Linked DNA regions of Canis lupus familiaris. The protein of the gene in region 5 purifies or fractionates together with the protein of the main gene of each other region. This does not show direct contact. Links are inferred from orthologs where the notes say so. Each region holds a gene or a part of one and is shown on either strand. Other genes may lie near its edges. The genes, in order: SMARCB1, BCL7C, ARID1A, ARID1B, SS18, SMARCD2 and DPF2.

What was found.
Region 1: the proteins of SS18 (region 5) and SMARCB1 purify together in Homo sapiens (affinity purification with mass spectrometry; 9 studies listed by BioGRID and IntAct, counting the BioPlex papers as one, with this or other methods). This does not show direct contact. The link is inferred for Canis lupus familiaris from reciprocal best matches to the Homo sapiens genes SS18 and SMARCB1.
Region 2: the proteins of SS18 (region 5) and BCL7C purify together in Homo sapiens (affinity purification with mass spectrometry; 3 studies listed by BioGRID and IntAct, counting the BioPlex papers as one, with this or other methods). This does not show direct contact. The link is inferred for Canis lupus familiaris from reciprocal best matches to the Homo sapiens genes SS18 and BCL7C.
Region 3: the proteins of SS18 (region 5) and ARID1A purify together in Homo sapiens (affinity purification with mass spectrometry; 7 studies listed by BioGRID and IntAct, counting the BioPlex papers as one, with this or other methods). This does not show direct contact. The link is inferred for Canis lupus familiaris from reciprocal best matches to the Homo sapiens genes SS18 and ARID1A.
Region 4: the proteins of SS18 (region 5) and ARID1B purify together in Homo sapiens (affinity purification with mass spectrometry; 4 studies listed by BioGRID and IntAct, counting the BioPlex papers as one, with this or other methods). This does not show direct contact. The link is inferred for Canis lupus familiaris from reciprocal best matches to the Homo sapiens genes SS18 and ARID1B.
Region 6: the proteins of SS18 (region 5) and SMARCD2 purify together in Homo sapiens (affinity purification with mass spectrometry; 4 studies listed by BioGRID and IntAct, counting the BioPlex papers as one, with this or other methods). This does not show direct contact. The link is inferred for Canis lupus familiaris from reciprocal best matches to the Homo sapiens genes SS18 and SMARCD2.
Region 7: the proteins of SS18 (region 5) and DPF2 purify together in Homo sapiens (affinity purification with mass spectrometry; 4 studies listed by BioGRID and IntAct, counting the BioPlex papers as one, with this or other methods). This does not show direct contact. The link is inferred for Canis lupus familiaris from reciprocal best matches to the Homo sapiens genes SS18 and DPF2.

The regions. Positions count from the first base shown.
Region 1 is NC_049247.1:28,793,369-28,796,868, forward strand, and holds part of SMARCB1 (SWI/SNF-related matrix-associated actin-dependent regulator of chromatin subfamily B member 1), read right to left. Parts: intron 325-3,500; coding exon 134-324; intron 1-133.
Region 2 is NC_049227.1:17,466,859-17,470,866, reverse strand, and holds the start of BCL7C (B-cell CLL/lymphoma 7 protein family member C), read right to left. Parts: upstream 2,801-4,008; 5' UTR 2,704-2,800; coding exon 2,612-2,703; intron 2,105-2,611; coding exon 2,026-2,104; intron 1,725-2,025; coding exon 1,616-1,724; intron 1,514-1,615; coding exon 1,352-1,513; intron 55-1,351; exon of another isoform or gene 1-54. UniProt on the Homo sapiens protein: May play an anti-apoptotic role.
Region 3 is NC_049223.1:72,735,666-72,739,165, forward strand, and holds part of ARID1A (AT-rich interactive domain-containing protein 1A), read right to left. Parts: intron 2,645-3,500; coding exon 2,437-2,644; intron 1,150-2,436; coding exon 1,017-1,149; intron 845-1,016; coding exon 669-844; intron 310-668; coding exon 159-309; intron 78-158; coding exon 1-77. UniProt on the Homo sapiens protein: Involved in transcriptional activation and repression of select genes by chromatin remodeling (alteration of DNA-nucleosome topology).
Region 4 is NC_049222.1:47,265,147-47,268,646, reverse strand, and holds part of ARID1B (AT-rich interactive domain-containing protein 1B), read right to left. Parts: intron 684-3,500; coding exon 545-683; intron 331-544; coding exon 158-330; intron 1-157. UniProt on the Homo sapiens protein: Involved in transcriptional activation and repression of select genes by chromatin remodeling (alteration of DNA-nucleosome topology).
Region 5 is NC_049228.1:62,584,523-62,588,022, forward strand, and holds part of SS18 (protein SSXT), read left to right. Parts: intron 1-435; coding exon 436-540; intron 541-3,347; coding exon 3,348-3,440; intron 3,441-3,500. UniProt on the Homo sapiens protein: Appears to function synergistically with RBM14 as a transcriptional coactivator. Isoform 1 and isoform 2 function in nuclear receptor coactivation. Isoform 1 and isoform 2 function in general transcriptional coactivation.
Region 6 is NC_049230.1:15,127,763-15,132,009, reverse strand, and holds the start of SMARCD2 (SWI/SNF-related matrix-associated actin-dependent regulator of chromatin subfamily D member 2), read right to left. Parts: upstream 2,801-4,247; coding exon 2,585-2,800; intron 128-2,584; exon of another isoform or gene 1-127. UniProt on the Homo sapiens protein: Involved in transcriptional activation and repression of select genes by chromatin remodeling (alteration of DNA-nucleosome topology).
Region 7 is NC_049239.1:52,349,216-52,353,463, reverse strand, and holds the start of DPF2 (zinc finger protein ubi-d4), read left to right. Parts: upstream 1-1,448; 5' UTR 1,449-1,567; coding exon 1,568-1,599; intron 1,600-4,248. UniProt on the Homo sapiens protein: Plays an active role in transcriptional regulation by binding modified histones H3 and H4. Is a negative regulator of myeloid differentiation of hematopoietic progenitor cells. Might also have a role in the development and maturation of lymphoid cells.

The DNA.
Region 1 (3,500 bases), on a different chromosome or scaffold from region 5:
AGTGAGCCCACAAAGGGCCGCTGAGCTGGCCGAGGCTCCAAAGAGACCAAAGGCATCACCACGCACAGGGAGCTGTCTTTTCCCCAAAATGGGATTAGAGAAGAACGAGGGAGGGGCTCAGCTGGTCTCCTACCTGAAGGCGTAGGTCTTCTGATGCCAGCTCAGCTGGCCCCGGATGCTGTATGCAATGGTGGTGACGAACTCCCCACCCAGCCCCAGCTCTGAGCACAGCTTCAGGGCAAATTTCTCGGGTGAGTTCTCCTTCTCTGACATGTCCCACTCAAACTGGTCCACCAGCGAAATGTTCCCCACGTGGATGTTCAGCTGGGGCAAGAACCGAAGAACACAAGTGAGAAGGGACAGAACCATGCCAACCTCGGAGGCCTCCGGGAGGCGAGACAGTCCAGCGGGGGAGCTGCCAGGCCAGCCTGGACCCTGCCCACCACTCACTAGCTGAGACCGGGGCTACCTTTCGTCCTTCTGGCCACAGGTCCCCATCCAGAACAACAGATGACACCAACGCCTGCTGGGATTGCCACAACAGGCTCTGGCTTAAGACCTGGCACAGTCACCTATCTTCCTAGTAGGTGTGATTGTCCCACGTGAATAGCCCACAAGGGTGCAGGTGAAGCCTGGGTGGGCAGCAGAGGCCCACGGCCGGCCCGCCTACCACACTTCCAGCAGACATTCTGCTGACGTGCAACCTGCAGCCAGTCCAGGCCTTGCCTGTGCAGCACCCAGACCACAATGGAACATAGCCTGCGCCCCAGGAGCTCCCCATGACACCTGCATTCAGAACCACCATCTTTACTCCTCATCCAGCAGATGAGCAGGACTGCTCTGCAACTGGGCGTCAATGAGTCACACAGGAAGGACACTCCAGGGTCTGTCTGGCTGTGTTCACCGGGCACTGTGTCCACGAGGCTCCGCCAATGGCTACAAGGCTGGGACCACCCCTCACTGCTCCCCAAGTGAACAGGCCACAGTGCACCGGCCCTTTCACCTACTATTGCTGTGTGCTCAGGTTTTGAAGACAATGCTCAAGGTGGCCACTGCTCAGGGCCCACTCCATGCAGGGTGGATCCTTCCCGCTGCCTTCAGGAAAGCGTGGGATCTCACTCCCTGTCCCCGTTCATGAAGCTCTGAACCTCTGGACCCTACACACCACTTTTCACTCGCTGTAAATGAGGCCCCTGTCCTTTCCCATTTCCGTGTTCTGCTCACACTGGGTGACCAATGACAGTTTGCAGAACGGAAGAGCTGCCCCTTCTTGCAGGAAACCAAGGCTCATGAGCCCTGAGGGCATGCTGGGACCAAGGAGATGTCAAGCAGCAGGCAGCCCACAGAAAAACATCAAGCGGGACCCAACAGGACCGACAAGTATAGTTGTTCACAGCCAGCCCCAGCAAGCCCTGCCCCGGGTACAAGAGCAGCAGTCCTCTCCGCCACCAGGCGGCGCCATGTGGCCTGGGCTGTCTGTCCCCTCCATTAATTGGGTCAAGAATGCTTGCATCTATTAAAAATTACAGAGTGTGGGCCTATCAAGAGAGGCACAGGGAACACAACGTGAGTCTCTCCGACAAAAAGCCATCTTCGTGGGTTGACATTCCAGTTGGGGGAGAGACACCCAAGCATGTCAAATATGTGAATGGGAGGTACATGGCCTATGTGGCCAGGGCCTAAAGGGAAAATGAGGGGACAGCTGGAAAGCACACAGGAGGCCATGTTAGCCAGGAGGCCCAAGATTGCCTCCTCAGGGAGACAGCATTTTAGGAAGAACAAAATGGGCAGACAGCAGGACATGCAGCTCCTTAGAGAGAAGGGTCCTGGGCAGAGTTAGGCCTGAGGCTGTCCTAAGGGCTCCAATTTCCACAAAGGGATCTGGGAGGTCTGTGGAGTGTTCTGAGCAGAGAAGAGACACTAGCTGCCACTGAGACCTCTGCTGGAGGGAGCCAAGAAACAGTGGGGATTCGGGGGGCGCTGAGGAGCTGGACTCTGAGTGGGCCCAGAGATGGGGCAGGGCCAGGACCCCTGAGGGGGTGTACTGCACTGGGGCCAGACTCCACCCCCTCCTCAACTACCACCCCTTATCACCACATACACCTGCACAGGCAGGGCCCGGTCAGCTATGAAGAGCCTGATTGCTTGACTTGTGAGAAGCACTGAACCCCCCAAGCCCCTGAAACGAAACACAGCCAACCAGTGCTAAGTGCCCTGGTAAAGGCAGCCAGGTCTGGGCTATGGTCCCAGAGTCCCCCCAAAAAAATCTGTTTTAAGTGGTTGTTCCATGCTAAGGCACCACTTTGTGAAGACACTCCTCAGGTGCCACCACAGCAAAGATCCCTGTCCTCCACTATGTCCCAGGAGCCAGAGAACAAAGAATATCCTCAAGGAAGGACCCAGCTCTCCTTGAGTTCCCTTGACCCAAACCTTGGTGTGACCTTCAGTTTCCAGTGCCTACAAGGTGGGCACTGTCCCCGCGGCCATAAGCCCATGAGGGCTCTGACCTGATAAACACAGCAGCAGAGCTTCTCTGGGCCGTGTCCAGCCTTAGTGCCATGAAGCCCTCGCGTTAGAGCCGGGCAGGAAACGCACAAGCCCACAAGCCCTATCAGGACTTAAAACAAAAACAAAACCAAAAAAAAAATTCTGAAAAAAGTATCAGGAAGCCAGCTGGTTAGACTCAGCAGGACCCTGGTCATGGCCAAGCCCACCCATTTGGAAGCATGTTGTTGGGGGCAGCTGATCCGTGAGGCCGCAGTTACAGGACAAAGACAAGGCAGAGAACCGAGTCCTCGGGGCAATCCTTCAGAGGTGACAGGCTACACGTGAGAATGCAGGTGAGGGTCCCACTGCCCCTTTTCTTTCCTATGAAGTTCCCCTTCTTTCTCAGTCATACCCTTTGTCTGCTGGTTGGCCAGAATATGAAACTAAAATGGGTTAAGAAAAACAGATTCTCTCAAAAGAAATAACCACTGGGGCACCTGGCTGGCTCAGTCAGGAGAGCATGCAACTTTTTTTTTTTTAAGATTTTATTTATTTATTTATGGGAGACACAGAGAGAGAGACACAGGCAGAGGGAGAAGCAGGCTCCATGCAGGGGACCCGAATTGGAACTCAGTCCTGGAACTCCGGGATCACACCCTGAGCCAAAGGCAGAGGTTCAACCACTGAGCCACCCAGGCATCCCATAGAGAGCATGTAACTCTTGATCTTGGGTCACAAGTTCAAGATCCACGTTAAAAGAAATAATAATAAGGGCAGCCTGGGTGGCTCAGCGGTTTAGCGCTGCCTTCAGCCCAGGGCATGATCCTGGAGATCCGGGATCGAGTCCCATGTTGGGCTCCCTGCATGGAGCCTGCTTCTCCCTCTGCTTGTGTCTCTGCCTCTCTCTCTCTCTGTTTCTCATGAATAAATACATAAAATCGTAAAAAAAAAAAAATTATAAAAATAAATAAAATCTTTAAAAAATAATAATAATAAAATAAAAAATTTAACAA
Region 2 (4,008 bases), on a different chromosome or scaffold from region 5:
TTGCTATTGGCCAGAGGAAGACACAGCAAGGACATTTAAGTGGGATCTTGATGGGTGAGTAGGATCTGATCGGGTAGACAAATGTGGAGATGGAGCACATTTTAGGCAGACAGACTATATGTTTGTGAGGACAGATTCTGAGGTTGGATTCCTCCGGTTCAAATCCTGACCTTGGGCAAGTGACTTAATTCCTCTGGACTTAGTTTCCCCACCTGCAAAGTGGGGATAATGATAGTAATTACCACATGAGACTGTTGTGAGGATGCAATGAGATAATACAGGTAAAGCCCTCAGTACAGTGTCTAGCACATAGAAAGCGCTCAATAAATGCCTGTTGTTTTTGTATTAGTAAAGGTACCCAAGTGCACGGTACAATCTAGACACAGCCCATAGGCCCATAGGCCCAAGTCATGGTATTCCTGGAAAGGAACAATGAGACCAACAGGGATAGTTCACGAAGGGCCGTGAGTGCCAAGTGGAGGAGTCAAAGGCCATAGGAGCCATTGAAGGCTTTGAAGCAGGAAAATGAGCCTGCCATATCTATGCTTTAGAAAAAGTTGCTCTGGCAGCTGTGTAGAGGTGACTAGGGAAGAGGAGACCCACAAGGAGGCTGGAGCCAGGCACAGGTAAGAGATGGCTCTTATAGGAAGGGAGACACATTTGCAAGGTGGTTCCGACCAGACAGGGGATTGACTATATGGAAGAAAGAGGAGCTAAGGCAAAATTATGCCCAAGATGCTGGCTCATTGGCCATGTGAGCTTAGGAGACTTCTCTGGGTTTCAGCTTCTCATCCACATGTGGGGATTATAACTTTCATAGGGTTATAGTGAGGATTAAATGAAATCAAACATGTTCAGTGCTTAGAATGGTATCTGGCACACAGAGCTCAATAAGTCTTAGCTATCATTATCACTTATTAATCACCCTCAGGAATATCACTATTATTCATTCCTTAACAAATATTTATTGAGTACATTCTATGTGTCCCACATTGTTCTGAGGATCTAGTAATGGACAGGAGCAACATGGGCCCAAAGTTCAGGAAGCCAACATGAGGTGGGAGTGGGGGAAGAAATTTGAGTAGTAAAAAATAAAATTTACATGAAAATCTCAGACAGTGATTAATTACATAAAGACCCAAAGGGAAAAAAAAAAAAGACCCAAAGAAGCCGGATGAATGAGACAGTTAGCTACTGGAGGTAGGATGGTGACTTTCTGCAGGAGTCAGGGAAGGCCTCTGGAAGGGGATAACAAGGAGGGGAGCAGGTGTAGGTAGGGGTAAGCTGATGGCTCCAACTCAGCCACCAGCCAACTCAGAAGAGAGGGCTGCAGGGAGGCACCTGGTCCTACCTCTCTCTTGGCCCAGCCGTGGGGGCTGAGCATCCTCTGGGACCCCTTCTGGTGGTCCAGCAGGTGACACAGGGCGGCTGGGCTGGGGGGTACCCCCAGGGCTGGGCTCGGTGCCCTTTTGCAGGGAGCCTTCCGAATGGAAACTCTGGTTACTGTTTTCATCTGTGGGAGCAAAAGCCGAGAGCATTGGGCCTGAGAGCCCCAATCTGCTCCCTCAATTCCCCATCCCACAACACCCCCCCAAATCCCAGGATCCCTACATACCATTGAGATCCAGCAGGATGAGGGGACCACCCCCTCGGGGACTGGTGCCCCTGCCCCGCCGCTCCCGGCCTCGGGATCTCTCTGTCCCGCCACCTGCCCTCCGTCGTTCCTGGGGGTTAGAGGGATAAGGGTCAGCTCCGGCTTTCCAGTTAGTGCTTGCAAAGCCCCCACTGTCCAAATAAGGAGACTGAGGCACAGAGCAGCAAAAGGCCCTACAGGAGGCTGGCACAGTGGATTAGGGCTTGAACTCAGGGGTCTGAAGCAGGAAAAAGGGAGAAGGGGGTGGAGTTGCTAATAATTGTTAACATCTGTCTTGGCTGCTGCATTTGAGGTCTCAGAGCAGGACTGGAGGTGGAGGCTGGGATTGGAAGGGGCTTGCCTGAGGGTGCACAGTGGGGGAGTTTGCTCACCTCCTCCTGGGGGTCCACCACTGGCACCCACTTGAAGATACGAAGGGAAGTGTCGCCCACAGTCACCCAGCGCTTCTCCCTGTGGGAGGGGGGGACTGGGTCAGAATTCTGAGGAGAGAGCCCCCCCCAGGAGCTGAACACATCTGGGGAGACCTGTAGACTTGGGGGTGCTGCGGTTTCGCTAATGGGGCATATGGTTAGAAGGAGAAAGAGAGTCCTGCAGACCCCAGGCCATAAACAGGGGTGCCTCTAAGGAGAGAGCACGGTTTGGGGCCATGGCTCTGCAGACCCCTGGGGTATACAAGGGAGCAAGGCTGAGGGCCTGGCTGGGGACCATAGCAATGAAGATCCTGGACATACTTGAGGGAGGAGTGTCAAAGCTTAAGGGGGCGGGGCATAAATGAGGGTACGGCTTGGGAACACGCTTTGTAGACCCTAGGGTGTAGCCAGAAGGGGGACAGAGCCCTGTAGCTCCGGGGGGCACACCTAACACCCTGCGGCCACGGCCGGCGAAGGGGAGGTTAGACGCATTTGGGGGAGGAGTGGTCCCGCCGGGTCCCATCCCTGGCCCCCGGGCAGCGCTCACCATCTCCGGACCTTCTCGATGGTCGCCATCACCTTCTTGATGTCATCTTTGGCCCGGCTCCGGGTCTCGGCCCGCACGGTCCGGCCGGCCATGCTGGCGGGACTGGGGCCGAGGCCGAGCCCGCGGCTGGGCCGCCTCCCGTCCGGCGGGCTCAGGCTCGGGCCAGACCCGGGCGCCGCTCTCTCGGCCTGCCGTCCCTCCGGGAGTTGGCCGCGCCCTCCCTCGCTCCCCAACGCCTCCGCGAGTCCCCGCCCCGTTTCCTGCTGCCGCGCCCCGCCCCGGCCCGTCCCCGGAGCGGCCCGGCGGTGCGGGCGGCCAAAGCCCAGGCCTGGAAGCCGGCCGGCCCCGCCCCGACCGGGCCCGCCCCCTCGGGGCGCCCCGACGCGCAGCGCCCCCTACCCGCCGCCAAGAGGGAGGGTTGGGGACAGCTTGGCGCCAGGGCGCGCGCCGCCGGGCCGGGGAGGTGCGTTCAGACCACGTGGGCGCGGGGAGGAGGAGGGGGCGCGAGAGGGTCACTCTCACGGCGAGCGTCTGTGGCGCGGGGGTGGCCCTCGTGCTGCGTGCAGAGCGTGTGTCCAGCCTCCCCTGGCTGTCGCTCCCGCCCTGTCCAGCTCTTCCTCAGCCATTCATTCAGCAGTCTATTCAGAGTGCCCATTTCTGGCCAGATGCTGCAAATATGAGTAGGTCTCCACCCACCAGAATGGCTAAAATGAGAACGACAGACCATATCAAGTGTAGACAAAGGAGTAGAGCAACCAGACCTCTCATGTTCCTGGGGTAGTGAAAATGGATAGAGATGCTTTGGAAAACGGGCAGGTTTTTTTTTTTAATTATTTATTTATTCATTCACAGAGACACAGAGAGAAAGAGAGAGGGGCAGAGAGACAAGCAGGCACCATGCAGAGAGCCTGACGTGGGACTCGATCTAGGGTCTTCAGGATCACGCCCTAGACTGCAGGCGGCGCTAAACAGCTGCACCACCGGGGCCACCCAAACTGGCAGTTTTCTAGAGAAGCTGAGAGAAATGCGTAGGTGTGAGCACCAAGTGATGTGTACTGGAATCTTCATAGCACCGTAGAGCACGGCCTCAAATTGGAAACAGCCCATCAGGAGTAGAGTGGAAAATGAATTGTAGCCTGTTCACACAGTGGACACAGCAGAGAGTGATATCCTGCTACACAGACAACAGGGACAAGTCTCATGAAAGAAATCAGATACAACAGTACGCATTATATGATTCCTTTTATATGAAATTCAAAACAAAACTAATTTGTGGTGTGAGAACTCAGGATAGTGGTCACTCTTGGGAGAGGCCAAAAGGGAGCTCTTGGACTGGTCACATTCAGTTTCTTAATCTGAATCTGGTGCTGATCCCCCCACCACCACCAGTACATTTA
Region 3 (3,500 bases), on a different chromosome or scaffold from region 5:
CTGGGTTGGAAGGCATGAGATTCGGCTGTGGAGCTCCAGTGCCCATGTTTCCCTCGGGTCCTATTCCAGGCTCCGTCCTAAACACAAATGGAGAAGTGGATTGAGTTCACTCTTGCTGTGGGGTGCTGGGGTGGGACACGTGCAGGGGCCATGCTCACCTCACTCTGTCATAAGGACCTCCATAGGGATAGTGCTGTCGCGGTCCCATTGCCACATTTCCCAGCCCAGGGCCAGCAGCACGGCTGTAGGGGTCTCCCATTCCGCCATTGGGGCCCTGCCCTGAGGACATGAAGGGATCGCTCCCTGGAGCTGAACGCAGAAAGGAAGGCAGTGAGCAAACTGGTAAGCCAGGAGGCCTAGCAAACTACACCTTGCCTGCCCCGAACACCAGGCCCTCTTCAGGGCTCGGGTTTGATCCTACTGTTTCCCCAACAGGTTCAAAAGAGATCTAAAGAGACTACCACCAGCAAAGAGCACGTACTGGTTTAGGTGTGCAAGGTGAAGCCAGTGAGAGGGAGACAAGAGGTAGGGATTAAGAGTGGTGGTTAGGACTGGAAAGGCCTTATCTCAGAGAATGGCTTTACAGGAACCCTGAATCACTCTCAACATATCCTCCCCATTTCCCTGGCCCTGTCCTCAAGGGCACAAGGCTAACAGCAACTGGTTACCTTTCCTCATGCTGCCATAAGGATCCTTATTTGGCTCGTAGGACATGCGCCCCATCATGTCAGAGGTATTCATACTGGGCTGGTACCCAGGGTTTGGAGTCATGGAATTCCGCTTCTGGAATGTGGGGTCACTTCCATCAGGAAAGGCATCCTGGATCCCAACCGAATTGCTCCTGCTCCAGAGTGAAGAAAGCCAATTAAACCCCAAATAAAGGAATTCCTCCTGTAGGCAGGGCACATGAGAGTCACTGGCTGAGCAGGCAGAGCAGGGACCACCCTGGGCTGCACAAGAACTCATGCACTTCTGCCCAGATCCTCCAAGTCACCTGCCTCTGTTCCTGGCCTTACCTCATGCCTGGCAAGGGGGGGATCTGACTGTGTGGTGTGGATGCTGGAGTTGGTGGCTTCAGGTCTCCTCCTTCTGCCATGGAACTGCTGGTTGACTGAGGTGTCTGTGGCCCCTGCATAGACCCAGATCCCGCTGTGGACAGAGATATGGGGTGAGCTGGCAAATGTTTAACTCTCACAGAAATACACAAATGCCCTGCCATCTCTGGAAAGGATTGTTGTAAGGCTAAAGCTGGGGTTCTTGAAAGCCTAAATCACCCTTCTCAGCAAGGGATGTGTAAGGCCAGGTAATAAGAAGAGAATCTGAGGGTGGTTCTTCTTCTGACATGGGGCTTGAACTCATGACCCTGAGATCAAGACCTCAACTGAGACCAAAAGTCGAACAGATGCTTAACTGACTAAGCCACCCAGGTGCTCTGGGGAATCTGAGATTTCTATTGCTCCTTGCTACTGTTTCACATTTGGGAGAATAGGAGTAGTGTGGTGATGGCATCACCATGCTAGTGATTTTGTTGAGTTCCTGCCAGTTTCCCTGACTACTTTTTTCTTTATTTCCCCAAGGACCCCTGTCTAACCTACTAAACCCTATAATGCTGGCACACAAGTTCCCAGTAAGAGCCCCTGGAATCCTAAGTAGGAAGGCTCCATCTTGTCCCAAACCTGCAGTGTACTTGAGGAACCTAGGAGCTCCTACTCACAAGTATCTAGCACTGTATCACCACTCAGGTTCCAATATGCCTCCAAGCTGATGAGAGCAGAACTACCAGTAATTAATGTTTCCATTAGTTACCATTCCCAGCAGCAGATATCCCACTGCTTAGGCCTCCCCAGCTGATGAGTCATCTCAGGCACTCATTACATCCTCAGAGGTCAATAGCAGGGCACATGTGTTTACACCCACCTTCTAGGAGCCCTGGCCTTCCTCCCTCCCCATGCTTGCCCTGGCCCCAGCCTCCTCTCAGAAAGGAGGGTGGGCAGAGGCACTCCCATCGAGTTCCATTCATATCCCCCTCTCCCTCCTTCCCATTCATTAGCATCTCAGCTCCCTGGGGAATTTAGGGCTCCAGTCTGAGCTGCATTCTAAGGCGCTGACATCCGTGGGCCAAAGCTCCCAGATGGCCCTGCCTCATTGCGATTTGTCAGATTTCCCCACTCCTCTGATGTCCCTCCCACTCACTAGTTTACAAACATTTGGCAAGTTGCCAGGTGCACAATGAAAATTAAAACTTAAGGGCTGCTGCAGACTACCTCTCAAGGGAGTCGCCACTGCCCGCTCCTAGTGTGCCAACATAGTAAGCCCTGAGGTAGTGCTGGGCAAAGCACACGTCCTTGGAGTCAGGCACTGTTGAATAAGAACCCGGACCCTTGAATGCTACTTGCGAAGGGTGAGCCTTAGTGGGGCGGCTCACCCGATCCTTACCAGGAGAGGGAGGCTGGATCTTGGGCTGGGACTTCTTGGAATCAGAAGCTGCAAAGATGTCTGGGGGAGGGTCTTCTCCCCGTTCAATCTTGCACTCAAAGGCATAGAGACACTGGATGTACTGCTTTTTCAAGGAGCTGGCAGCACTGCTCGAGGTGCCCACATTGAGGTTGGTCGCAAGTTCCCGCCATTTTTTGTTCTTGTTGACCTGTACAACCAACCAGAAGAGTCGAGGTACATCTTCCACCTGGTCTTCCTGCCAATAAGCCCCAAACCCCCACCAGGATACCAGGTACTCATGTTTTATAGAATCGCAGTTCTCAATTAACCACTAAAGTTAACCCCCCTTGAGGCATAGTCCACAACAAACGTTAAATCCAAGGCTAGCTCCCCTCTACCCTCAGCAGGTTCTATCCATAGACCACCGCAACTAGCAAGCTAGCAGACAGTGCTTATTTGAAAGAGCACAAATTTTAGATCACTATTAGTGGGAGAAAACAGAATTCAGAAGGTATGATGCTTTACAAGTATAGTTCTGAAAAATGCTGTGCAAATCAACATCAGATGCAAACCCCTTCAAAGGCAACAATAAAAATCAACCTTTTCCAGAGATGTGGCAATATCAGCTACCACTCTGCTTGACTTACTTTGTCAAACTGGAGGTTTCCACATCTGGGTTGTTTCTTGGTGTGGGGCTCTTTGCCAATTTTACATTCTGTGCCACAGCTGCTCTATTTCTCAGTGACATGTAACTAACTACAAGCCCCCTTCCTATACGAGACACTGTCCTGATTGTCCAGGAGATGCTTCAGGCCCTCTAACTTCTCTGTGCCCTCCCAGTAGCCTACACTAATCTCTATTCCTAAGCTTCAGGATGCACTGACCAAGACCATTCCCAAACCCTACAATTAGATGATCTTTCTGTTCTAGCCAGGCAGGTCCTCCTTTTCCATGTATTTTTATGCTTATTCATCCACCTCAAAGGCTGGGAACACCAGCTTTCCAGTCTAAACCCACAAAGGAAGCTCAGTATGTTGTGGTATCTACTGACCTGGTACCTGTGA
Region 4 (3,500 bases), on a different chromosome or scaffold from region 5:
ATGGAGCTACTGCGAACTTTCCCCAAGGCTGGGAATTTAGTAGGTTGAAGAGCTGGGACTCAGATATGTCTCGAATGGGTAAGTGAATTGGTTGTGGGATGGCAGAGGGAAGAATGCCCTCTGGACCAAGCCTGAGCAAAGGTCTCCCTGCACTTACCTTTTCTCATTCCACCAAAGGGGTCTTTGTTGGGTTCATAGGGCATCCTTCCCATCACATCAGGCATGCTCATGCCCTGCTGGTATGGGGTGCTTGGAGTCATGGAGTTCCGTTTTGGGAATGATGAATCACTGGCATCTGAGAATGGGTCGTGCACACTGACTGTACTGCTTCTAAGGAGACAAGAAAAATGAAAGCTTCGTGAAATAGCAGGAGATGCCTCCAAATGCTTGTTCAGAAAATAGGCCTAACTTGAAAATGTTTAATGTAAAAACCATCCCCTAAAATTACATGAATAAAACTAGTAGTATTCAACATTAAGGACACACACTTCTTCTTTACAGACAAATCTGATGTCATGTGGCTCACAGAGATCCTTTTGCATACCTTCCACCTTGCATCGGGGTCATCTGTCCGTGAGGGGTGGAGGCTGGGGTCGGTGGCTTCAGGTCACCTGGAACCTCTGCCATTGAGTTACTGCCAGTTGACTGGGGGGTCTGTGGACCTTGCAAGGATCCTGAGTTAGCTGACAGTAGTAGTACCAAGAGAAAATAAGAAAAAAAAAAAGAAGTTATCAAGTAAGCTCATCCTTCCTACTAATTTAAAAAAAAAAAGGAAAGACAACACGACACCATCTTATTAGAATTAGAAATAGTAACAATATCCATTACTGGTAACGACACAGTAAAATTAGTTGCTTTTATATTGTTTATAGTGAAAATTAGTAAAAGTTGTTTGTTTTGTTTTGTTTTTAGTAATCTATTTGGCAACATACTTCATTTGTGAGCCATAAAACATATTTATACCTCTTGACTGGGTAATTGCTTTCCTGGGTATTTATCTCAAGAAAATAATCTAATATAAAAGAAGGCTTTAGGCAGAAAAAAATGTTTATTTCAGTGTTGTTTATAATGGAGATAATCTAAATGTCTGAGAGTAAGGAAAAAAAATGGGATGAAAAATTCGGTATACTGATTTGATGGACTATTGTGCTATTTTAGGAAAAAAGTTAGAAAAATTACTACCAGGTCTTAGGCAATGAGAAATGTTTAAGTTGAAATGCAATGATACAAATTTTTAATGAGCCTTATATCACTTCAATGCCTCCTCAATGTCTGTGCTATGTCATTAATAAAGTCATTTTTAGAGCTCTGGAATCAGATTTGTTATTACAAAACCAAAGTCATGCTCTTTGGAGTTCTTTAATGTCATCATCAGAGTCCTGAGATTTGGCTTTAACTATAATTACACTATAATAACAGAGCTCAGTATTGAGCAAATCTTTTTAAAAACTTAAGTACTCACCTCATTGGAAAACATAGTATTTTAAGGGTTCCCGCTTTATCACTGACCTTTGCATGTGAGGTGCCCGAAAGACACTACCTACATTTATTAATTCAACAAATACTTATTGAATAAATAACATGCTTACTACATTGCTTACTATATTGCTTTTTTTCTATTCCTGGATGCACCAGTGTCCCAAACTGACAAAAAGGACAAAAATTCCTGCCCTCATGCAGTTTATAATAAATGCTTTCAGAACTGTTACAAATGGCAGAAATTACTGGCTGCTTGTCAAAGATGATACTGTATATGTTATTATCTGGAGTCCCTTTCCTAGGAGTGTCCGACACTCACTACAATTACCAGTAGCCACATTTAACTGTAGAGGAAATGGGGTTCAACAAATCACTGGAGATTACAGAGCGTGCTGGGAAGGAGCCCGAGGTGGAAATTAGTCCAGCTCTTCCAGTCAGAAAGCCTCAGCGGAACACAGAGGTCTCCAGTGAGATCAGGTCAGCCCTGGGCCTGGCCTGCTTGGGAGTGAATCTTGAGCCCTGGCCACCAGGGCCCTGCCTCCTGTGTAAGGTGTACGCTGGGTGCCCGGGACTAGAGTGACTCAGGGCAGCTCTCAGAGATGCCGGGAAGACTAGCTTGAAAAGTAGATCATCTTTTTAATGTAGATATCGCCAAAGAAAAGCTTAGTAACACATGCTTATAAATCAGATTTTGGTGAAACCCTACATATCAAATAAATAGATCGTAATAAGAGAAAAAAAAGTGGAGTCTTCTATAAATATGTAAGGATAAACCTACAAATGTGACTGCCCCACAGAGCTGGCAGGAGAAATAACGTGCTCCTTAAATCACAGACCACACTCCACAGCAGCCTGTGCGGCTTCCCTGGAAACATGGTTCACAGGCTGTGATTTCAGAATGACCCTTATTTACAAGTATTCACATTTACAGCTAATAAAAAAAAAAAAAAAAAAAAGGAAAAATTCTTCCCTCTGCCAGTATTTTTTCCTCTCCTTTCAGGAAAAAAAAAATGAACACAACCTCTTGAAGCTCCATTAATAGACGAGGCTGGCACACTCTGTAGGCTCTCCCTACCTTTTGCCAGAAGCTACAAATGTATACTCGAAAGTAAACAATGGAAAGGTTATTGAAGGTTAAGTACATTCACACACTTCAGACTGTACAGCCAGACTCCTAGCTGGGAAGATAATTTACACAGCACGAACCTGGTGCCCTAGTTCTGGCTGGGGTTTCGGGAAGGAGGGCAGGGAGAAGGAAGGAGAGCTGATATGTCCCAGGTCTACAGTGACTGGAGGTCACCCAGAGGGCACCTTTGTTTATAACCTGAACCTCTTTCTCATTTATCTTCCACTGAGGATTCCCTAGTTGGATCCATGACAGGTTTTGTGACATCACCTGTCAGCTAATAATAGAAATGCAGTCAGCCACCTGCCAGCAAAGATGGATGGGTTTTTGGTTACAGACTTACTAATTGAATGTGGAGCTTCCTCGGCCCCCCTTTACCCCGCCCCCACCCCACCCCAGCTTCCAGGCCTCCTAGGCCACTTGGGGAGGTGATTTCTGCAGCTGTTCATTAGAACTCCATGAACTTTTACAGGCTTATTATAACGAGATCCCCACTGGCACCTCAGAAATGCAACTGTACCCCAGGCCTTGCCCACGTTTCATCTGGGAGCTTCCCTCAATGGACTCGCCCAAGTCACTGGAAGACAGTAACATGGAGCTCTGGCTTGAGAAACCACACAGTCCCTACGGTGAAGATCACGGGCCGAGGGGTTCTACCTCCCAGAGGCTGGCGGAAAGGAAGTTCAGTCCACACTGGCCACACCAGATCGAAACCGGAATACAGATGGATGACACACAACGCTAGTGTAGCCAAATGAGCTGGGAATTCAGGTGGCTTCAGAGTGGCCATTTAGAAAGCAATCTAGTACTTTTCTTAGGAATCTTTTTAGTTTGGATGTGTTGATAAGAAATACACTATAATTACCTTCTTAGGGGGAGAATGGACTCTAAGAAC
Region 5 (3,500 bases):
ATCTATTTTTTTCTGGGAAAAAGGTTAATATCCTAAAATTTGATAACAAAAGCTCACTAATACATAGCAGAAGATAATATTTTAGTTTTGAGAAGTTACTGAATATAAGATGAGAAACAAACCCTATTTTGTTCCAAACTACTCTAATACCAGAAAGAAAATTTTCTACTAGTTTGAACCTCTTTTTAAGGAGTTAGTATTTGTTCTTTTAAGTTGATCTTGTTAGATACTGCATGTATGGTCATAACAGTTTTTGTGAAATGTGGTTGTATGATGTTGCTGTGTGTTTGTGTATCTGTGTGTGTAATTAAGAATAGTTAAAAAGTATCTCAAATGCCAGTGCATGGGAGGGGAGTCTACAGGTGAGAAGTAATTTCTCTTAATAACAGATTAGAGAACAAATTATTTACCTCTTGACTGGTTGTGGTTTTTCAGGCCCACCACAGCAGTACTCAGGCCAGGAAGACTATTATGGGGACCAATACAGTCATGGTGGACAAGGTCCTCCAGAAGGCATGAACCAGCAATATTACCCTGATGGTAATCTCTCCTAATGTTAATTTTCCTGTTGTCTATCTGTGCCCAATATTAATGTAGATAGCTGTTCAAGACATTTTAATGAGGATGAAGAAACTCACAATATGTTTCTTCTAAATTTAGAAACACTTTTTAAAGCATCAGTGGTCGCATTAGTTTATAATCCATTTCAAAGTATATTTGGTTTAGATAGTCTGTATTAGTACCATCAGGAATTATTCTGTCACTGGAATCCTTTCTTACATAAAAGAGGATCCTCTTAGTTTGGAATTGTTAATTTGAACCAAAGCAGTTGTTACTGATACACTTTTTTTAAATAAACACTTTATTGAGATAATTCACATACTGTAAAGTTCACCCATTGGTTTACTTTTATGCATGGTATAAATACACAGAAGATCTAGTTCTTGAGTATTTTTCCAAGTTTCATCATTTTTAGTTAACATTGAGTACTTCTCAAAGAACTGTGGTTTGTGTATATTATCATTCGTATCTGAAAAATTTGGAGGTTAAATTATATGATATAGCTGTGTTTAAAGTTGAGAGAATAGGAAAAGCATTTGGAAATCAGATTTTAATTATTTAGTTTAATGAGTTTTGTGGGAAGGTGGTATATGAAAAAGTTGGTCATTAAAGATATATTGCACTTGGAAGTGATGCAAGCATAAATAGGCTTTCACTATACAGTTCTTCCAGTTTTTCTGTGTGTTTGAAAATTTCATGATACTTTGTTGAGGAAAAAATAATCCAAACATATAAAACTGTGATAAATTACAGGTGGCTATTCACATTACAGTATGATTTGTTTTGTTATGAAAGGATTTGTCAAAATCTTCATTTATCCAGTAAGCTCCCTTGGTATATTTAAGGTAAACTACTTAACAGAGAAACTTGGAGAAACAAAAAATTAAAAGCTAAAGTGTTGGGACTATCCTCTCAAAGCTAATGTGAAGTAGTAAGAAGATATAATTTGGTGAATTTAAAAAATATTTTAGCCTGCCATTTTTTGTTAATGTATAAAGGATAAAGGTATATCAGTATAAAGACAGTGGTTTTTTACTGCAGAGACTCTGCCTGTATAGGCAGAGCAAACACTCATCTGTAGAATTTTGTTTATCATAAATGTTTGTTATGATAGTGGTGATATGTATGGATGTTTCTTGTTAAGAAATGATATATTTTTTTAAATCTCAGGTTTTCTTGCCCTGAATTAATTCAGAATTTTGGAGTTTTTTTTCTTTTTTCTTTCATATATAGACATTAAGATTTTTTTTAACGAAAAAATTTAGTATGTTTATAGACTATGGATATTTTAAAGAAGTGAAATCTAGTTTGTCAAATTTTATGTATTAGGAACTCTGAAAGTAAATGATTGTTTTGTTTAATTTTTAAAATACATTTTACATAATTGAGTTGAATTTGACACTGTTTTGGTCTTGAGTATTTTTCTGAAATGTAAAATGTGTATTGTTATAAATACGACCTTTCTATTCAAAATAGATGTTATTTTTGTTAGACATCAAAACTTTAAGGTTATGTAAATTATTTATTACATGAGGGGATTTAAAAATCTATCATTTTTGTATAGGTGTGTATTAATATGTTTTTCTGATATGTATGTAGAATATCCCATGTATAACAATAATTTGCTTAAATAGCCTTGAATATTTTCTTACTATCATTCAGATATTTATGCCAATAAATATATAGATTAGGAGTTGGCAAACTTTTTTCACTAAAGAGCCAGAGAGTAAATATTTTAGTTCTTTGCAGGCCATATCAACTACTGAATCCTTTCTGTAGCATGAAAACAGGTAGAGAAAATGCGAATGGGCATACCTGTGTTCCAGTAAAACTTTATTTACAAAAGCAGGGCCCTGGCCATATTTATGCTGCAGGCCATAGTTTGCCAACCCTTCATGTGGCTATTTATGAGGTGGTTTGGGAACGTTGAAATCCTAGAACACTGAATATAACATTGATTCATAACTGTATTGCTCTTCTTAATTAGGCATTCTTCTAAAATTTAGATTTTAGCTAACTGAAGCATTATTTCCTGCATTTTCTTGGTGTGTAACTTTAGTTAAAAGAAGTAGACTATTGATTTTCATTAAAGTCCAGTCATAAAATTTATTGAGCCTTAAAACTTAAGGTGTACCCTGGCACTAAACACAGTATTAATTTTTTGAAGGTGTGTTTATGGTACTCTAGAAATATTTTCTAAAGGCGTCTAGAATGGCAGCATTAAGCAATATTATTCTTGCATCTGAAAATGCTTTTATAAGATACATATACGTTATGCTAGTAAATAGAATGTGAAAAATTTGTTTCAGTTTCTTTCAGGGGAAAAAAACTTATGGAGCTTTTTTATACTTTGCATTGTTTTAGCATATGCTGTGGAATTGGCGACCAGCAGAACAGGTGTTTGACAAAATATGATAATTGCTTCCTTTGTTCATTCTAATTTAATTCAAGTTATTTACATGTGAAAGGCCTAAATGCTTTCTTTCTCTTTTTTGAAAAAAATTGAAGATGAAGTTTTTTTTCCCCCCCATGTTGAGGATTATCAGTTAAGACTAAGTGTAATGTTTCTAAAACTACTGTTTTTTGCTTTTAAAAAATTTGCACGTTATATCTCAATATGAAAACAATCACATTGGTAAATATTTGGCTAATGCATTTGAAATTATTTTTTATGTATTTCCATTTCTTTTTCTTTTTTTCAATTTTATCTGAAAGTTTAAATATATTTAGGGTTTTCACTCAGTGGCCATTAACGTTTCTTCCTGTCTCTTGTCGAATTGATGTAGGTCATAATGATTACGGTTATCAGCAACCGTCGTATCCTGAACAAGGCTACGATAGGCCTTATGAGGATTCCTCACAACATTACTACGAAGGAGGTATCTATATACCTTCACACACATACACATATATATCCCCTTCTACAGGAATGCAAATTT
Region 6 (4,247 bases), on a different chromosome or scaffold from region 5:
AAAACAAAACACCCCAAAACAAATCCCAGTCAGGCCACTCAAGGCTCTGTAAGTCCCTGCCTGCAGTAAAGCTCAAGCTAGGAAGTGTGTGACAATGTCCTCTCCCTTGCCCGGCAGCAGCCCATGTCCTAAGTGTGACTCTACCTCCACTGCCCAGGACAGCAGGGCACGTGGCTGGGCCTAATGCTGCACCTCCAGAGAGCACGCAGCACCCTGCCTCAAAGCCTGTGGCCCTGGCGCCCCTGGTGGCCCAGGCCTAAGAGAAGGGAACATACCCCTCCATAAGCAGAAAATATTTTGAACTCTGGAGTGAACCCAACAATCTGGGTTTCTTTGGGTTTTGTTTTGTCTTTCTTTTTTTTTTTTTTTTTTTTTTTAAGATTTTATTTATTTATTCATGAGAGGCAGAGACACAGGCAGAGGGAGAAGCAGGCTCCTTGCCGGGAGCCCGACATGGGACTCGATCTTGGGTCCCCAGGATCAGGCACTGGGCTGAAGGCGGCACTAAACCACTGAGCCACCCAAACTGCCCCATTTCTTGTTTTCCTTAAGCTCTTCTGTCGAGTATGATCCACAGCTAGATCCACTGTGTGGAGGGAGGTGGGTCATCACTTCCCCTCTTTCCATAGGTTCCCTAACTTACCCCACTTGGCCTGGAAAGCCTTGCTCTTCTAGCTCACTTCATGTACCCTAACAGACAGGACCCCCTTTGCTCCTCTGAAGTCCCATCTCCTGGAAGTCACACAACTGGACTTAGAAAGAGGCCAAGCAGAATCTTACTCGAACTTAGCCAGGGTGAACTGGGTCTTCCCTCTCCCCTTGGATCCTCTACTGTCCCTTCCTGGAGGAGGAGGAAGAGGTTATGAAAAGCTGGTGGGACAGGAAGCTTGCAGAAGCAGAAGCTCAGTGCCTACCCTTTGGTCCCCAACCCTAGCAGCCTGGGGCTCCCCAGCCAGTCAGCTGGACCTTGCCACTGGCCCAAGGCCACTCCCTACATAGGGCTGTGGAACCCATTATCCAAGGGCTTTCCCCAGGCCACACTGCTCACAGCTTTTGAACAAAGGCAACTGGAGAGGCTCCTATCTCTTCTTAGACCAAAGGCCCAGAGAGACTCCAAGGCCTGTGCTCAGCTAGCCGGCCCAGGGGCTGTAATGACTCATGTCGAGACCCCTCAGCATCAGCTTGGACCCATGAATCCCCAAGTGGGAAAGCAAGATGGGAAAGATGGGAGTCACTGGCATTATCTCTGTCAGTACCCAGATATTTTGTTTTCTTTACAGAGAGGAGGGGGGATGAAGAGTAAGTGGGAAAAATCAGGGTCCCCAGTTAGGCGTCTCTTTAGAAAGTAAGGGCCCAGGGCTCTGAGGGGGGCGGCGAGGGAGATAAGCATATCCTATCCTATGAGGATCCATTTGTGGAGCCTCTACCTGGAGACCAGAGAGTCAACCCCAGCTTCCTTGGGAGATTAGCAAAGAAGCCAGTGCCAAACGCTGGGGCACACGGGTTGGTTGGGATATGACATTGCTAGAACCTAAAGGCTAAATAAGAGTGCAGAGAGAGTGCAAAAAAGGATGGGCACAATTCCCAAGCATTCTGGGGCAACCAGAAACAATGGACTGGAGAGGGGGGTACTGATGAGCCCCACCAGCAGGGTCAGGCCCTAAGGATGGAGTCTCTACCTCTCCTCGGCCTTTGAAGCTGCAACCTGAGACGCGCTCTCTTGGAAGCCAAACTCCAAAGGGGTCAGGACAGAACTCTTTGAAGCAACTCTCACAGACAGGCTCCTCCAGCCCCAGACCAGCAGGGCTCAGTGGAGCCTCTCTGCTCCTGCACACTAACCAACTCCTGGACACTAGGACACCAGGCAGAAAGCCAAAAGGAGAGTCGGCCCAGAACGGGCTGGGCTTTCCGCCTGCCTCAGGCCTGGCCACCACCAGCTCTGGTCGAACCCGGAGCCACCCCACGGGAGGGCTCCTGGGCCTGACCTGGAGCAGACCCTGCCCGGCACAGGCTGGGGTCCCCTTGCTCCGTTCTCCACCTCCCGGGCCGCGGGGAGCCAGGCCCTTCTTCCTCCCCATCAGCAGCTGGGAGCCATCTCAGACACGCTAGAACTCTGCCAGTTCCCAACTAGAAGAAAAAAAAAAAAAAAAAAAAGCCCAGCGCAGACTTGGAGTGGGACCAAGGCCAAGGCAGGGTAACCCTGGTTTCTCCGTGAGGGCCCTTTTGCAAAACTTTCCCAGCACTTCCCCGAGCCCCCTTCCCTAGGACCTACACTAGACTTCTCGGTCCGCTCGCCCACAGCTCCCGGGCTCCGGTTCCTCCACCTCTCACTCAGAATCCCCGTTCCAAGAAAACCTCCAGACCCTCCCAACCGCCCCCAACCCTCCAGCCCAGGCTCGCTCTGACCCTCTCCCCGAGCTGCCCCGCCGCCCGGCCTTGCCCTGCACCCCGTCCCGCGCACTCCGCACGCCGGGCCCCCGTGCCCCGCCCGGGGGCTGCCCCGCGGCCCCGACTCCAGCCCCCATCGCCCCATCGCCCCGGGCGACCTCGCGGCGCCACCCGCCCGCCCGGCCGCGCTGCTCACCTGGTACTGCGCCGCGGGGCCCGCGGGGCCCATGGGGCGGAAGGCGGCGGCCCCGGGGCCCCCCACGCCGCCAGCCGGCCCTGGCCCCCTGAGCGCCGGTCCCGGCAGCATGCCGGGTCCCGCGGGCGGAGGCGGCGCTCCCAGGGCCGCGGCAACGGCGCCGCCACCAGGACTCAGCGGAGGCAGCGGGAACCCGCCCGCGCCACGGCCCGACATCGCTCCGTCCCGTCCGGCGGTGTCGCGATCCGGGCTCCGGGCTCCGTGTCGAGTCCGCTCCGCGATCCGTGCTCCGGGACTTCCCGATCTAAATTCCGGGTTCTGGGGCTTGTTGATCCGGGTTCCGGGATTTCCCAATCCAAGTTCTCAAGTTCCTCCTCGCAGACCCGGTTTGGGGCAGGGCCGATCCTGATTCCGGTCCTGCCCGGGCAATTCCGGATCCGGGATCTGCTGCACGCCCGCCTGACGCTCGCGGCCTCCGGAGGTTTGGCCGCCGGAGTCCAGTTACCCGGAGGCGGCAACTAACTCCCAGCCCCGCCCAAACAAGCCCGGCGCTAGGCCCCGCCTAGAACCTGCAGTCCAATGCCACGGTGCCGCTCAAATCCCGCCCCTCGCGAGACCCGCCCCCAGCAAGCACCGCCCCTAACCGCCAGCCGCCCCCCCCAGCCACGCCCCCACGCCTCAGGCCCGCCCTTGACCGGAGGGGCGGAGGCGGAAAGCTGCGCAGGAAGCGCTGTGCAAGGCGCGGGGTCAGAGGTTGAAGGTCACCTAAGGGCTTCAACAGAGAATGCGTGGGGAGTTGCTGATCTCTGCCCCGTGGAGCCCGCCCCCCGAGGTTCCCAGTTACACTCCCTGAAAATAGTTGACTTAAGTCGCTTTTCTATGTTTTAGGCAGTAAAAATTCAGCTTAGAGCTGTTTCCTGAGGCAGAAGAGCCACCAGCTTCACTTTGTTTAATAGCCCATCCTGCTGGCTCAGAGCTGCCAAGGGACGTCAGCTGCCCCAGACCCAGTCCAGCTGTGTGACGGGCTGACTTGGCCCTGCGCCGAGCTCTTATCGCATATTTTTAACGTGGCTCTGCCTCACTTTAAGGAAGCCTAGTACTTTACTCCACAGGAAATGTTTCTAGGGGGAGGAATTTTGCCTTGTGAGAAAACTCCCTGCAGTTAAATAAGGTCTTTCTCCAGGATTTATAGTACTTAATTGGAAAAAAAATTCAATACCTTTTCAGAAACCACTATCCTGTGTCATAAGGTATTCAAAATAAAGCCCTTCAGCTGTGTTAGCCTACATGCTGGTCATCTGGGGTTTCCTCCCCCTGATACAGGCCAGTGCTTCTTAAACTTTAATAAGCACAAGAAACATCTGGGGCTTTTGGGCAGCCCGGGTGGCTCAGTGGTTTAGCGCTGCCTTCAGCCCAGGGCATGATCCTGGAGTTCTGGGATCGAGTCCCATTCGGGCTCCCTGCATGGAGCCTGCTTCTCCCTCTGCCTGTGTCTCTGTCTCTTTCTCTCTCTCATGAATAAATAAAATCTTAAAAAAAAAAAAAAAAAAAAGAAAGAAACATCTGGGGCTTTGGTTTAAAATGCAGATTATGATTCAGTATGCCTGGGGTTTGGGGTAAGGCTCAAGCTTCTGCATTTCTTTTATTTATTTATTTAAATTAA
Region 7 (4,248 bases), on a different chromosome or scaffold from region 5:
TGGAATGAGGTATATGGCAAAGACCATGGCCTGAGGACTGTGACATTTACAAGTGGAACAAAGGACAGACTTAACAAAAGAGGTAAAGGAACTTCAGTGTGCTTAGAGCACATCTAAGAGAATGCTGGTCTCAGAGACCCTGAAAAGAGCTTGAAAAAGGAGGGAATGTGGGGGGAATGTGGGTTGAACGCTGGACTCTTGATGTTGGCTTAGGTCATGATCTCAGAGTCATGGGATCAAGCACCCCCACCCCCATCGGGCTCCTTGCTCAGCATATCCCTCTCCCTCTTCTTCTCACCCCCTCCTTTCACACGCTCTCTTTCTTAAATAAATAAATCTTTAAAAAGGAAAAAGGAGGGAATGGTCAGTGGTGTCATGGTGTCTGTGTTTCAACGAACCAGTAGGAACAAAATCATTAAACTGGGCAGAAGGGGCCTTGGAAATAAGTCAGCAGAGATACGGAGTATAAACAGAAACTTTGCCTTGAAAGGATGGAAAAAATGGGACGATAATCCAAGGCCACCATGGGCTGCAGGAAGGGCTCTCTGATTTTTATTTTTTAAATTTGTAATTTTTGTTGTATTATTTATTTATTATTTATTTATTCATGAGAGACACAGAGAGAGGGAGAGAGAGAGAGGCAGAGACACAGGCCGGAGAAGCAGGCTCCATGCAGGGTGCCTGACGTGGGACTCAACCCCGGGTCTCCAGGATCAGGCCCTGGGCTGAAGGCAGCGCTAAACCGCTGAGCCACCGGGGCTGCCCAGGGCTCTGATTTTTATTTTATTTTATTATTTTTATTTTTTTTTATTTTTACAGGGGCTCTGATTTTTAAAGATGTTAAGCCATGTTTGTACACGAATTTGCGATTCAACGGTGAAGGAGAAATGAATGGTACGAAAGATTCAGGGATAATTGCAGGAGGGAAGTTCTTAGAGCCTAATTGGAGGGACAGAAGTAGGAAGCAAGGGAGGTGGGTAGCACTGAAGTTGGTGGCAGGGTTTTGTGGGAGGAAGGGGAGGCAATTTTTGCCAAGACTCCAATACTCATGCCAAAGAACTGCTCAGTTCGGGACGTTAATCTTCCTCTCCCTGAACGGGCACACGACTGGAGGCCCAAGCGGATGGTGCACCGTCTTCTGCTGTCCACCAACAGCCCCCTCCCCGCGCCCGTGAGTGAGGACAAAGGGTTAACCACAAGGTTAAAGGTCGGTGAGGCAGCAGTACGCATAGGCTCCATCTAGCCTAACTCTGGGCCTCCAGTTTTCACCAGCTTCATGTCATCATTTCATCAATCCTCTCCTTTCTGTACCAGCCCAGACGCTCCCTCCCCGGTCCGGTCCTCACGGTGGAAGACCCCGGGCTCCCCGCCCCCGTGCCCGTCGCGCCTGCGCGTTGGGCTCCCTGGGCTCCCCCGCCCCTGTGGACAGTCACGAAGCTGCTCTCGGGCGCGCGTGCTCGGGCGGCGCCTGCGCAGAGGAACGAGGAAACCGGTTCCCCGGTGCGGTCCCTGCGCCTGCGCGCTGAGGGCTCCGGGCCTCCCGGCCTGAGGGAGAGGAGCAGGGAAGATGGCGGCTGTGGTAGAAAATGTAGTGAAGCTGTGAGTAGTGGTTTCTTTCTCTCCTAGGCCAGGAGGTCTTGTAATGGGCCTGGGAGTAGGGGGCGGCGCGGCAGGGGACTAGGCGGAGGGAAGGACGTGCCCGAGAAAGCCTTGTTGCGACTCCTAGTAGGGAGGGCAACAGGAGACTCACAGGAAGACGTTGCGCTTCTTTGGAAACTTGTGGAGGCCCTGAGGGGGGCACACGGGAGCCCCTTACGGGCAGCCTCCCTGCGGGGCTGTGCGGGCTGAGCGCTCCTTCGGGCTCGCGGTGTCCTGAGTATGGCGCCCACGTTGCAGACGAGAAACACGGTCTGAGTGCGCTCCCGAGACCAGACGCCTCGGTGCGGAGGGGCCGGGCCGGGCCGAGGGCGGCCCCGGGACCCACCCGCGTCCCCGCGAAGCCAGGCGCCCCCCCTTCCCGCCCCGCTGCCCGCAGCAGTTCCTGGAGCAACAGGCTCAGCAGCCCTTGCGTGGTTAAGCATGGCGGGGCTGTTTTAACAGCCCTGTGACGTCCGGGGGTGGGGGGTGGGGGTCTTGAGTATCTGATACCCGAGACCAAAAACATTATTGGGAAGAATTTGTTGAGGTGCGGATGCAGCAAGGAAAGAACTTGAGGGCCTTTGCGCCGGCCAGTCCAGCCACCGAAAAACGGGAAGTGGACGGAAGCGGTCCAGGACGCCTCTGCAGCCTAGAGGGGCATCTAGGTCGGCGTGCTGCGCGCTGTGCAGTCAGTCCCCTGCTGCTGGGCAGGCTGCGAGCAAAGTTAAAGTTCATGGTTGTTGGGGAAATGGAGTGTGGTCTGTTGGCCGTGAGTTAAAAATGCTTTGGGACTTGATTTAACCCAGCCTCCTCCCTGAAGAAGATCGAAATGGGTTCGTACCTGGTGGACGAATAGAGCGAACTCTGTTTAATGGGTGAATTGGGCTTGGTGCAGAGGTGGGAAAATTGAGAGGTGACTAGTTGTCCAGGCAGGGCTTGTGGATTTTGACTGGATGACAAGGTAAAGATTTGGAACTATTCTGAGGGACTCAGCTTCTCAGCTGCCTTTGTGGTGGGCTGAGCCCCCACTCTTCCCAAGAGTCTTTATGGAGAGTACGTTGCTTTGCCCACATCCCCCCACCCCCACCCCTCCCCGCCTGGAGCCTTTTCTTTGAGAATGCATTCCCACTTCCATTAAGCTAAGTGCCTTCTTCTCCTCCTGTGGGTTTTTTTTTTTTTTTTTTTTTAACTTGCTTTCAGCTCCATCCTGCGGCCTCTTTTCAGCTACCCCTCCTCCCAACACTATTATCTTTCTCTCTGATCTGCCCACTCCAGTTTCCCCCAGCTCTTTCTTCAGGCTGACATTTCCCTCAATTTAGAAATGTCGCTGTTGATCTACCATTTATATAGTTATCCTTCCTGACTCCTGTTCTTTGTTTCCCTGCGTTTCTCTTTGTTGATTACCCTCCACCCCAATCCCATTGTAAAGGGAGGTTTTACACAGTTTTCATGCTTCCCAGAAAAGAATCAGAGCTCCTACCTTGGAAATTTACTGTACTGGGGGAATGTAAGACTTGCCTAGGTTTTGCGAGTTCACGGGTAATGGGACTTTATGTTGGAAGACTTTCTTCAGGGGAATAGAGTTGTCAACCCTTTCATGTAGTACTAGAAGGGAGGAGTTGCCCATTTCAACAGAGCATGACTTACTTCTATTAAAGGGACTACAGAGATTGTGAGGGGCACCAGCCACTAGTTCCTGAGTACTAGTAACGAGAAACCAACTTTCTCCTCAGTTCTAGCTGCAGAGGACTATGGACCGCAATTAATACATTTCCTTACAAAACTTGCCCTTTGAGAAGGGGTTTCCAGTCTTCCTGTACTATTCTCACCCAGGAGAGAGATACTTTTCTGGAGCTTCTCTTGATCGTGGTATGCTTGTTTTTTGAACAGCTGAGGTTATACATTGAGGTCAGCACTACTAGCTCATCTTCTCTGGCTTGCATCTTGTTCTGAGAGAATTTTCTTATTTATGAATTCTCTCACTCTCTCTTAGTTTCTCCTCATCAGATTCTCTCTCCCCCCCCAACTTAGGCATTTCATTCCCAGTTCTCTTACTCACAAGACAGTTTGAACCACCTTCTGAAATCCCACTTAACTCACAAGTGCTTTGATAGAACATCTCTCATTGTTCCCCAAAAAAAACCAATTCTGGCCTCCATGCTGTGACTTTGCAGCCCTCAGCCTGTCTCTCCGTCCTTCCATTTGACTTCCAGTGTCAGTATCCATTCCCATCAGCAGAAACAAAGGAGCTGCTGCACTCGGCCTGTTTATCCAATTTTCCTCTGTGTGGTGAGGACATGGCTGCCTCCTAAAGGCCAGCTAATGTGAGCCTGTTCCCTTCTCTTCACTCTCCAACACAAAATTCATGCTTACCTCAAATTACAGGCATTACTGCTCATTGAATCAAGCCAGGCATCGCCTTGTGTGTGATGTATGTCTTTTTCAGTTGCTTGGGAACATACTAAGCTGTGCCTAAGTACTATATTGTGACTGCTCTGAGAAGCCCCCCTCGGATTCCAGAGCGTGGTTTGTCGGTGTATCTTGAATTACGGACATAAGCAACAGAGACTCACTCTGCCCAGCTTCTCATGCTAGGGGTCTCCCTCATGT